Yarrowia lipolytica: one gene and its partners. The main gene of each other region encodes a partner of the protein of the gene in region 3 in a complex. Links are inferred from orthologs where the notes say so. Each region holds a gene or a part of one and is shown on either strand. Other genes may lie near its edges.

Region 1 (2,608 bases), on a different chromosome or scaffold from region 3:
GAAAACGGCGGACTTCGATGTGGAAGAGGTACCTACAACACCTGATGGTGTTCCAGTTCCAGCAGACTACTTCCTGTCTACAGACCCAATGACACCGAACCCGAATGCTGGCAGCTCTGGCCGTTTCTCATGGACTTCGGAACGGTCAAACATTGACAGGAACTCTATGTGGGACCGGCGCGTATCAGGCGACAGTGACAATTTCAAGGACCAAGACTCCTCTGATTTGAACCTCATCCACAGACAGGAAGACCAGCTCATCGACTCGTTTGAGAACTCCGTTTGGGGTGGAGCTCTGTCCAAACGAGCTAGCCGATACCAACGTGCAGAGCAAGATGACGAGAAGGATGAAACACTTGACGACGATAGCCACGACTACATCTAACCATGGATATACTTACATAATTTATAGAAATGTTGAAATTAATCGAAACATATACACCGTAGTAAACGTGCTTTGTATTTCGTCTATGTACATGGCAGTATAAATTAATAGCATGCCTATTTTTTCTTCTTTCCACCGGCCGCCTTCTTCTCGGTGAGCTTCTTAGGGGCTCCCTTTCCTCGTTTCTTTCGCCTGTTGTTAATAATTGAACCACGATTGTGCGTGTACCTAGTAGCCTTTATACAATAGGATCTAATACTCACTGAACAACGTTGGTAAGTCGGTACCACTCAGTGTAGTCTGCGAAACCAAACTGGGGCATGGCCTCTCGAAGGCTCTTCATGCTGAAGTCGCTTGTGGGGTAGTAGCTCTTGATCTGCTCGCCAATCAGCGGTGCCCGGAGGGCCTTAGTGCCACGTCGAAGGTTCTCGGGGTTGTAAGACCGATTAAAAACCTGGGCAGTCAATTTTGCCAACGAGGTAAGTCGCTCTTTGCTGGGCCGGATGGGGTTCATCGTGGTGCGAGTTGTGTTGTGGTGATTTGGGACTGAAAAGCTAACATCTCATTGAAACCTTAAACACACGTGACCCGATAAGCTCATTTGAAAACACAGCCATCAGAATTACTGTATGAAGGTATGTGATACGAGTATCGTAAATAATATCCTGTTAATTAAATATATGGGTGGGCAAATGTAAATGCCCATGTAGCTTGTATGAAACTTAGGATTGAGCTACATCAGGAGCGGCAGCGGTGTCAAGCTCGTCTTCGACCTTGATGTCATCCTCATTTCCAACGTAGACCGTTTTCTCAGTCTTCGTTCCTGGCTCATAATCGAAATCCAGGATTCGGAGATAAGCCTCGTTGTCTTTCTGGACAGCTGCGACGAGCTTGGATCCACTAAACCGCACTTGCCAGATTGACTCACACTCCGTGAACAAATCTTTCACAAGTTTGCCAGTACGAATATCCCAGAGCTTCAAGCATTTTGCGGAACCACTGACAACTTTGTATTCGTCGTGCTGAAAGCAAGAAATTGCCTCCGCGTGTCCCTCCAGCTTATGTATGTTGCCTCCAGTCTCGGGGTCCCAAACTCGAAGGGTCCAGTCAACTGCAGCCGACACGAGCCAAGATCGGTTGAGGTCAAGGAGACCAACAAGCGAGGTGTGACCTTCCAAAGTGTACAGGCAGGATCCTGACTCAAGGCACCAGACCCTCACATTCCAGTCAAGCGACCCAGAGATGCATCGATTACGCTGATGATCAAGAACAGCAGCATATACTCGCTTGTGATGTCCAGAAAGTACAAACTTGCACTTTCCAGTGTTGATAGACCAGACACGCACAGTAGTGTCATAAGATCCAGAGACAAGAGTGTCACCGTAGCCATTAACGGCGCGAACAGAATTAGAGTGGCCCTGGAGTGACTTCATGAAGTAGGGATCCTGAGTGGACTGATCCAGCCATTCAGGCTCGCCTGGAAGAGGAAGCTTCCAGACTCTCAGTGTCTTGTCCCGAGATCCAGTAACAATGAGAGGTCGAGAAGGATACATCTCATCGGGGTCGGTGCTCTCCGTTCGTGCAGTAGCACACATTGCATGGCTCATTGGCACAGGAGTCAGGATGCTTAGTGACCGCACCGTAGAGACGTGACCTGTAAAAATGTGGGTGCATCGTGCTTCTTTGATGTTCCAAATTCTAACAGTTCTGTCAATACTTCCACTGACCAATGTATCACCAACGTACTGCAGAGCCCACACTCCTCCAGTGTGACCTTCGAGTCGACTTCGTTGACGGCCAGTTTTAGTGTCGTAGACGTTGATCCAAGGGTCTTCGCTGGCAGTGACAATGATGTCATCATCAAACTGGAGACAAGTAATGACTGCCTCCCGTCCAGTTCGGATGCATGTGGAGTCAGGTGTGGAGTTGGGATCCATCCAGTTGCGACGAATAAGATGTCTTCGACGGTATATGCTCTTGTACAGGTTGATCTTGCTGTACAGAGGAGTGGATTCGACAATGCTAGGATCGGTGTCCTCGGACCCCCACGTGGTATAGTCCCACTTTTGCTCGGTAGCTCTGGCAACGTCAGCATCGGTAACGGGCGCCTGGTGGCTCTCTGAAAGACCCTTCCAGATTGCGCCCAAGCTTTCAACAATGGAGTTCCAGCTTTTTGAAACCTGTGATGCGGCACAAAGAGTCTTGTAGTCGAGGTGGGACAAA
Region 2 (3,337 bases), on a different chromosome or scaffold from region 3:
CTTTGACGCCGAGAACCACAAGAACAATCTGATTGCAGACGAAACCAAGTTCCAGCCGACTTCGAACTACCTATCTCCCAACGTTAAGTACCTGTACAACATCTTCCACCCCTCAGACCCTATCAGTTATCGAATCGAGCCTCTGGTTGACAAGCTTGCTGCCTTTTTGCGTCCTGCCAGTGTTCCTTTCACCAAGTCTGGTTTCTCCACTGAGTCCATTTCCAACCTCGGTCGTCAGGTCGCTGAAGGGGCTCAGCAGATGTGGAACACCATCTACACGAGTGGAGAGAGCATCACCCAGAAGCTGCTCAATGCCGCAAGCTTCCTGGAGCAACAGAAAGAAGAGGAACGAAAAGAGGGAGCAGGAGAGGAGAAGGTACAGCCCAGCCACGAGGGTGCCGAGTTCCCCTCGACAAGTAGTATCTCCAAACGGAAGCTGACTCCCGAGGAGAGACAACGAGTGATCACCAAGCTGGGGGCATTGTCAGCCACTGGACGAATTGACTATGCTCTTCAGGAGAGTGTGCTGGATCTGGGATTCATTTCTGCCATTGCATCTCACATCAGTTACCTGGAAGATGAAGATGTGGCAGCATTTGTGCTGCAGAGACTGCTGGAAGAGCAGAAGGATTTGGAAAATAAGAGGAAAGCCGAAAGCTAGACAACCCAACAAACATTCATTAGAACTACAGCTTGTAGGGATACATTAATTATATCCATTTATGTCACGGCAGAGCCAGTAGCAGAATACACCGCGTACAGTTCCAGCCAATTATTTAACAAGGTTGGTCAATTTTCGCAGGTAGAGAATTTCCAGTCTCCCACAAGAAAAGTCAGTGAAATCTGGTATAGATATGAATGGAATCCCCTACAATTCAACAAGACTGGCGGTATGTTTCATAATGTCTGATTTCCCAATTCCTTGTTTTTTTTGATCGAATTTCGCAAGATCTAACAGCACTGCAGTTTCCCCCACAATCAACTCTAAGCCTACAGTGTACAGTATGTTTATATGTACAGTACAGTAATACTGAACGCAGAACTCAACTTTTCACTCATCAAAATGAAGGAAACAGGGACCAAGGAGGAGATTACACAGGTGAGTATTGACTGCCTTGATTACACCTAATGGCATATGATACATATGATGATGCAACACAAGTTGGCCTCGCGATCAACGACCACGCCACTAGACGATACGCGTGCACGCGAGTCTCTCGGGTCTTATTTATTCTAACCCAGCGTCTCAAATCTGCGATTTGGATAACTGTGTCGAGGATTGTGACAGAGCAGACGCGTAGCGTGCCTGTGGACAACTCCTTTGTTGATGCGTTGACTGAGCTCGTGTTTGAGCAGGCAGTGACCCTGGGGGGAGATCTGGAGTCGTTTGCCAAGCTCGACAACCGGGTGGTTATCACCATGAGGGACCTTGATATGGTATTGAGACGAAATGAGGGTCTGAAGGAGGCTGTTTATGCGTTTCAAGGGTAGGATAGGGGGTATTTATTGACTATTTATTTGAACATTTGAACATTTGAACATTTTGATCAAGTTGAGCAGAAATGCGAGTGATCAAGAGGTGGAAATGTCTCACCTTGGCCATTAATCGAACGCAGTGGACATTCTAGTAAGATTATTTTCATTTATTGACCAATTTAATGTCTGATACATTTTATTCACATTGTTCTGAATTTCCATGGGTTTTTTGCCCAAATCGAGACCCGTCACGGTCTCGAATTCAAGATAACCTTACACTATATGATCCTGACCAAAATCGAACCGGCGAGCTTCCTCCATGCAAAAGTCTAATTCTTGCACCCATGAAATTTCTCAATAGGCGGAAACTATCACCAGATCACACATCACCACAATCACAATGCTGCGACTAACTCGATCGGTGAAAAACCTGAGTCTGGGCGCCGTGCGGTTCCAGTCAACACAGGCTCCTCGACAGCCCAAAAACATGTTTGTGCGAGAGGCTGAGCGGGCTGAGCGAGACGCACAGGAAGCCCAGAAGTGGAGAGGAGGAAAGAAGCACCTGAATTTTGGTGTGGACATGAGCATCTCCGAGACACCTCGCGGCGCGGCCGAGAACGTGCGAGTTGCCCCCGCAACGGCTCTTCAGTACACTGGTCGAGGAGCTCATGAGCAGACCATGGAGGTCGTGAACCGAGTCCGACGTCAGTACGAGTTCCTTCCTAGAAACCGAGAGGGTGTTTCTCCCCCTAATTTCGTGACCCGAATCACTTACCTGACCATGCTTGGTTCTTCCGAGCCCGTTTCCGGCCCCCAGCATACTGAGCTCACCAAGGCTCTGGCCGATCTGTACTACATTGACAACCAGCTCAAGCCCCAGGTGGTGAAGGATCTACTGCGTCGATTCTCGCGAAAGATTGATACCGACGCAGAGTCCGGCGAGATCGAGACTCTGGACGAGCAGGGACGAGCTGTGACCCGAGGTCGACGAAAGACCTCTTCTGCACGAGTCATTGTCACCAAGGCTCCCGAGGGAACCGTCGGTGAAGTCCGAGTCAACGGTCTGTTGCTGTCCCAGTATTTCAAGGAGCTTCAGCATCGATCCGAGGTGCTGTTCCCTCTGTCGGTCGTCCAGTCCGAGGGCAAATACAACGTGTTTGCTACTGTCCTCGGTGGAGGCAACTCTGGCAAGGCCGGCGCTATTTCTCTGGGCATTGCTCGAGGCATTATTGTCCACAACCCCCTGCTCCGAAAGCGACTGTCTAAGGCCGGATGTCTGACTCGAGACGCCCGTACCAAGGAGCGAAAGAAGCCTGGTCTCCGACGAGCCCGAGCCGCCCCTACCTGGGTCAAGCGATAAGAGACGAGAACTGTATATATTTGTCTTGTGGAGACGCCACTTGGCTGCCTTGAGCAGAACGATAGGTTGTCAGTGGTGGTTGCACTTGGCCGTTGTTGGTATACCTGTATATAAGATAACGAAGATGTTTGATTGAGATGGCACGAGTATGCAATAGTCTTACAGAAAGAATACGTCTGGCAGCACACAATTCTGCCATTACAGAGAACCTAACTCCTATGTCATTCTCTGACCAATGATCTCGCGACATACCTTATAGATATGTTCCTTGATTCATTTCATCTTCTCAAGATTCCCTGTCATCTATATCATTACAATCTATAGCTACCACTGGCACATACCGTGGAACTAGTCAGTACTTGTGCCTTATTTGGGCCTGGGGATCTCTGTGACGAAGACCTGAACCCGCTTTTGGAACACTCGCCACCAATCTGAACCCGCTTTGGAACACTCGCACCAATCTCTGTCCGCTATGCGTGTGACCATGTTTCCAAGGATGAA
Region 3 (2,959 bases):
CACCTTTCTTGAGAGTGACGGCAGTGACCATACCTTCGGTATGGCCACCCCGGCTGAGTCATCAGTCTGCTTAGTCACAGTGCCTGGGTTCTAACAAATTTAAGATTTGACTTCGTGGCCAAGTTGGTTAAGGCGTACGACTGTTAGTCACCTGAATGGCCGCCATCGTAAGATCGAGAGTTCGACCCTCTCCGAGGTCGTCAAATCATTTTTTGTTTCTCTGGGTTGAAACGAAGTTTTGTTTTTTTTGGAATTGGTAACAATAAGGCTGTCTGATGCTTTCAGGTTGTTTTTATTGTCACTTTGACATCATGTGGCTTATGACAGCTGTTTTAAGAATCCAAACACAACTGGTTCACTTAGTATGTTACTCCGTAAAGCTATCTCGTGCACTATTGAAGCGGCCTCTCAGATGATACTTGAAGCCATAAACTACGCGTGAGCTACTCATTCCATCTACATGTCTGTCATTCAACCGTACTATTCATATATACACTATTTACATTACTCCTTCTGGAGCTGTTGGGTCTGGTCAGCCTCCTTTTCCTGAGCCACCTCCTCGGCATCAAACTCCTTGAGCATCTCCTGCACTCGGGCCTCTACGGCCTCGTTGGAGACCTCATCCACCTCCATGGCGTCCAGCTGGTCCAGAGACTCGGGCAGACCTTCGTGGGTGAACAGCTTGGCCTTCATACCGACACCAGCCAGCTTGTTTTGCGAGAGGAACTGCACCAACACCTGAATGGTATCCTGGGATGCGTTGTTGAGAATGAGCTTTCGGCCGTGGGTTCGTCGCTCGAAGTTTTCCTTGGACTTTGCATGCACGAAAACTGCTCGGTTCACAGTCCATCGCTTGAATCGGGTCTTTTGGGGCACAGGTCCCTCAACGGGGATTCGCAGGTAGTAGGCCGCTCGCTGGGCAAACTCGGTGAAGACCTCTAGGTCCTCGTGAAAGTATGCGTTGAAGAGGAGCTCGGCACACTTGACCTTAGGGGTGCCCTCGGGAATCTTGACCTTGAGAGGTCCGTAGTAGTTGGCGAGAGCAGAAATTGGCAGAGGTCTCTCAGAGTTGGCCTCGTAGATCTTGTGCTCGGTCTGGGTGTAGGTGCCCTGCTTGGGGACCAGCAGATCATCAGACAGCTGCTGTCGAAGGGCCTGGGCCTTGGGGGTCAACTGGGACTCCACTGAGGCCTGGGACATCTTGCCTAGCTCATTTTGTCGGAAAGTGGAGTTGAATCGCACAAGCGCCGTTCGCGGCAGTGTTCGTGGGGCCAGGGTCCGAAGAGGAATCATCGTGTGCTGTGTCGGTGTGGTTTGATGCGAAATTTCACCACACCTGAGTGTCGGTTAAGTTTTTCAGGGTTAGGTCTGGTTGGGACAATTATGTAATGGGGGATGGGATGGGAGAGAGAGTAGGCGGGAGGCGGTACAATAGGCAAAGGGTGTTCTATTTATTGTGCAGTAATTGTCTGTCTATTGGTATTGGTAGTACATGTGATATTGTGGTGTTTAATCCGTGGATCTGGTTTTTCATTCGTTGGGTTTTGGAAGAGTCAGTGTCCGAGATGTGGAATGTCGTCAACGAAACTTGATGGCGCTAAGTAATAAGATATGCTAGTTGATGATTAGTTAAAGGACCGGGCGACTGGCTGATTCATAAATTTATTGCCCACGGCGGCTATATTAACACAAACTGCTACAGTAGATGGCAGGGCAAAGGTTTGCATTATATTCCAACGCCGATGGATGCAACACAATCCTAACTAACAGAAGATGTGTCGAGTGGCGATGTGGGCATAGATGTGAGTGGCGTATACCCTGAAGCCAAACACGTGTTTAGAAGACAAGTGTGAGGAGGAGGAAATACGGGCGGTCTTGATTGTTTAATTGGGTAGGTATGCTCTCAAATTATTTCTCACACGTTATACACAAGCTAACATCTTCATTACTTCAGCTACTGTCCGGTAACGGAGAAGTCTCACTGGTTGGTCAGCTTTCAAATGATCCAAAACTTTGGTTCACCCTCCTACTCGTAGTACACTTGCTTGAACTTTTATGGTAATATATACAGTACAATAAATCAGAGTTGAGGTCTGTGTTGATATATGCTACCAAAAATGGCATGGTGTGCAAATTATACATTGTAAAGGTCATAATCCGACGTTTTTCCACTTTGTATGACTAGCCCCTGTCACTTTTAACCACCTCTCACCATAGCCTCCACTGCGCCTGCCCGACATGCCATCGCCCAAAGTCTAACTCCACATCGCAGTGCATAAACACGCTGATAGTGATCCACACCTATCCACACCCCCAACATGTCCGAGTACCGACGCCAGGCGCACTCGAAATACAAAATGCCCGGGGGTCTGCTGCCTCCGGTGAACCTCGGCGAGGGTTCTGGGCCTACGCACGCCAATTCGGGCTTGCGCACAGACTCCAAAATGGCTTCATTTGTTGCAGTGCCTGACCGAAAGGCCACCTCCTCGCCCTTCAGACACTCGGGGCAGTTCAGCAACTCATTCACCTCGCTTGCTAGCCTCAAAGATCTTAGCGACCGAGATCTCCCGGTCAAAGCCAGCCCTCGCAACAATAATAGCCATGGCACCAACAACAGTAACAACAGTAACAACAGTAGCAGCAACAACAGCGCCAAGGATGTGTCTATCCCCACGACACCCAGATCCAGCTCTCCCGCTACAGCCGCTCTGTCACCAGTAGACGAAATGAACAGTCCCAAGAGCCCTACCGAAGCGGCATATTCGTCCGGTCAAACGCCGCCTTATTTGAGAAACATGACCATGAAACGACGGAACAACAGCAAGTCGGCCACACCGCCTCCTTCGACTCCTGGACTGCTTGGACGAGCAGGAGACAATGGCAAAAAGAGCAAGGACGAGATTCAGGCATCCCCACGGTTTCTGGATGTCAACAATAGTCAGTGGAGAGAAGCCGCCAC
Region 4 (2,578 bases), on a different chromosome or scaffold from region 3:
ATGTCTCGGGAGTCTCGAGGTGGGGGTCCTCGGTAATCTCGGGAAGGAGGGTATCGCTCTCGATCCCGATCATCGTACCGGCCACCACCGTAGCCACCTCGCTCTCCTCGGTATCCAGCACCGCCACCAGGGGCGCCGCTACCGGGGAATCGGTCTCGGTCATCATACCGGGGAGGAGGGGGTCGTCGGTAGTAGTCCTCTTCGTATCGACGGTCGTCGTATCGAGAGGGGGGAGGTCGTCGGTAGTCGTATCGGTCTCGGGAGTATCGATCGTCTCCGTATCGTCCTCCACCTCGGCCACCTCGTCGGGCCTTGGGAGGTCCAAAGTATCGACCGGGGGTGGGGGTTCGGGCTCGCTTTCGCTTGGCCTTCTCAATGGCAAGAGTCTTGCCAGCAAGCTCATGGCCGTTAAGTTTGGCCAGAGCCTCGTCGGCGCCCGTAACGTCGGCCATCATGACGAAACCAAAGCCTCGGGACTCGCCAGAGTGGGGGTCCATCATGATCTGGCACTTGAGAACCTCGCCAAAAGGCTTGAACAGGTCCTCAAGCTCGGTCTCATTGACGTATCGGGACACGCCAGTGACGAAGAGATTGGTGCCCTCGTTCTGGGCGTCAACATCGTCGTCGTCATTCAGGGGCTCCTTTGACCGTCGGTCCAGGTCTCTGTCGTCTCTGTCAAAGTCACGTCGGTCGTCTCGACGGTCAAGGTCGTCCCGGTCGTCCCGTCGGTCGAGATCGTCTCGGTGGTCTCTGTTTTCGTCGTCCCGGTCATCTCGACGGTCGAGGTCGTCTCGGTCTCGCATGCTGTGGTCTCGGTCGTCGAGCTCTCGGTCGTCGTGGGTGTGCTCAACAGGGGCACCAGCCTCGTCGTCATCACGACGGGGAGACACACTTCGTCTCTCGTAGGTCTGTTCAGGGGAAGCCGAACGGTCTGTGTTAGTGGATGCGTGTGGGTGGATTGGCGTGATGCACTGGTGCCGAATACAGACACTTGTGGTGGACAGATGCAGACCGAGCCCAGCACAACCTCATGGCGAACAAAATGGGTAGACAAATATGGGAACAGCTCCAACTGGACCCGTTCTGTGTCCTTGAAACAGGTTCGGCGCAATACACCTTTGCAGCGGGCACTTGTCGAGTGTCTCTTCTCTTCTCTTCTCTCATTCTGTCGTTGCGGTTGTGCTAGTATTCTTGTTGGGTGGAGAGCTCAGTATCTTTGCCAACAGATATAAGATACGGCTTGCGGTTGCTCGTGTGCGACAGTGCACGCCGCCTTGTGCGCTCGCAGGTATCAATTACTCACTGTATTCTTCGTCGGCCATTTTTCGTGTCTGAATAAGATGTACGAAGGGGTCTTCTGCCCACTGACTTTTACATTTCTGACGGGGGTTACCCGGAAGCCACACCCAACTATATACTATACATACACACACACACACACACTGGGTGGGTCTCCTTGGGAGTTGGGTCTCTGGGCTTACGGCCGGGTAACACTGAAATTTGCATGCAGTGCCACTATCTCAAAGCTTGAAGTCAGCAGTTTCGCGATCTCGAACTACACAAAATGCTTCGATCTCTGGGAGCTGCCCTCACAAACGCCCGAATGGGCATGGCTCGTCTGCCCTGGACAGCCTCTGCGCTCCCCAAGCCCACAATGAGCCCCACCCTGGCCGCTCTCACCGTGCGACACAAGACCATCAACCAGATCCAACGAGACGGAGGCCGACCTGTGCCTTACCGACGAAAGAAGTCTCCCGATCTCGAGTCGTGCCCTCAGCGAAAGGGCGTTGTTCTGCGAGTTCTGATTCTCAAGCCCAAGAAGCCCAACTCTGCCCAGCGAAAGGCCGCCCGAGTCCGTCTCAGCAACGGCAAGGTGGTGACCGCCTACATTCCCGGAGAGGGTCACAACGCACAGGAGCATAGTGTGGTCTACGTCCGAGGAGGCCGAGTCCAGGATACTCCCGGTGTCAAGTACCATCTGATCCGAGGAGCCGGCGATCTCGGAGCTGTGCCCAACCGAGCCAGCTCGCGATCCAAGTACGGAACCAAGAAGCCCGCTGCTCCGGGCGCCTAATGTATATAGTAATGGAGCATCAGCTAGCGACACGTCGTGAGCTGTGTATGTGATGGTTTTCGGGATGCGGTGATTCTGTAAATAATGGGATGTAGAGGAGGTTCCAGTGAGGGACTTACTGGAAGCAGAGTCGTAAAAAGGTGCTATTATTGAGTAGTTGCACAGTTGAAGTCGCTTATCCTGTGACAATGTCATGTTCCGGATTATTCTCCCGAACACTTGCTATCTGGGATCATGAACGTGGTTATCCTGGTCAGGACGGGAAAATGGCCTGCTCATCTACAAAGTCATCGAGCCTGGTCATATTGATTTAAAATACACGTAACAATCAAACTCTTCAGAGTGGTTACCGTACCAGTACCCACGCCAATCTATCTCGATAATGCCTTCCATACACCTTCACTACAGTCAGTTGTTATTCATATCATATTCATTACAATGGTACATGGAGACATACCGATGCATAGCTAGTTCCGACCGTTAGATGAAGAGAAGTCAATCAGC

Evidence for each region.
Region 1: YALI1_F30106g (region 3) and YALI1_E18326g share a complex: the UniProt entries of both Saccharomyces cerevisiae proteins name them as parts of the mitochondrial small ribosomal subunit. The link is inferred for Yarrowia lipolytica from reciprocal best matches to the Saccharomyces cerevisiae genes RSM10 and RSM27.
Region 2: YALI1_F30106g (region 3) and YALI1_B08193g share a complex: the UniProt entries of both Saccharomyces cerevisiae proteins name them as parts of the mitochondrial small ribosomal subunit. The link is inferred for Yarrowia lipolytica from reciprocal best matches to the Saccharomyces cerevisiae genes RSM10 and MRPS9.
Region 4: YALI1_F30106g (region 3) and YALI1_A03402g share a complex: the UniProt entries of both Saccharomyces cerevisiae proteins name them as parts of the mitochondrial small ribosomal subunit. The link is inferred for Yarrowia lipolytica from reciprocal best matches to the Saccharomyces cerevisiae genes RSM10 and MRPS12.

Annotation. Positions count from the first base shown.
Region 1 is NC_090774.1:1,830,951-1,833,558, reverse strand, and holds YALI1_E18326g (uncharacterized protein), read right to left. Parts: upstream 900-2,608; coding exon 649-899; intron 578-648; coding exon 502-577; downstream 1-501. Other genes in the region: YALI1_E18378g (uncharacterized protein), read left to right, coding at 1-385; YALI1_E18303g (uncharacterized protein), read right to left, coding at 1,108-2,608. UniProt on the Saccharomyces cerevisiae protein: Component of the mitochondrial ribosome (mitoribosome), a dedicated translation machinery responsible for the synthesis of mitochondrial genome-encoded proteins, including at least some of the essential transmembrane subunits of the mitochondrial respiratory chain.
Region 2 is NC_090771.1:817,475-820,811, forward strand, and holds YALI1_B08193g (mitochondrial 37S ribosomal protein uS9m), read left to right. Parts: upstream 1-1,876; coding exon 1,877-2,836; downstream 2,837-3,337. Other genes in the region: YALI1_B08156g (uncharacterized protein), read left to right, coding at 1-661; YALI1_B08186g (uncharacterized protein), read left to right, coding at 1,129-1,491; YALI1_B08207g (uncharacterized protein), read right to left, coding at 3,148-3,297. UniProt on the Saccharomyces cerevisiae protein: Component of the mitochondrial ribosome (mitoribosome), a dedicated translation machinery responsible for the synthesis of mitochondrial genome-encoded proteins, including at least some of the essential transmembrane subunits of the mitochondrial respiratory chain.
Region 3 is NC_090775.1:3,009,327-3,012,285, forward strand, and holds YALI1_F30106g (mitochondrial 37S ribosomal protein uS10m), read right to left. Parts: upstream 1,294-2,959; coding exon 505-1,293; downstream 1-504. Other genes in the region: YALI1_F30116g (uncharacterized protein), read left to right, coding at 2,319-2,959. UniProt on the Saccharomyces cerevisiae protein: Component of the mitochondrial ribosome (mitoribosome), a dedicated translation machinery responsible for the synthesis of mitochondrial genome-encoded proteins, including at least some of the essential transmembrane subunits of the mitochondrial respiratory chain.
Region 4 is NC_090770.1:338,686-341,263, forward strand, and holds YALI1_A03402g (mitochondrial 37S ribosomal protein uS12m), read left to right. Parts: upstream 1-1,564; coding exon 1,565-2,074; downstream 2,075-2,578. Other genes in the region: YALI1_A03396g (uncharacterized protein), read right to left, coding at 1-931, 1,304-1,322. UniProt on the Saccharomyces cerevisiae protein: Component of the mitochondrial ribosome (mitoribosome), a dedicated translation machinery responsible for the synthesis of mitochondrial genome-encoded proteins, including at least some of the essential transmembrane subunits of the mitochondrial respiratory chain.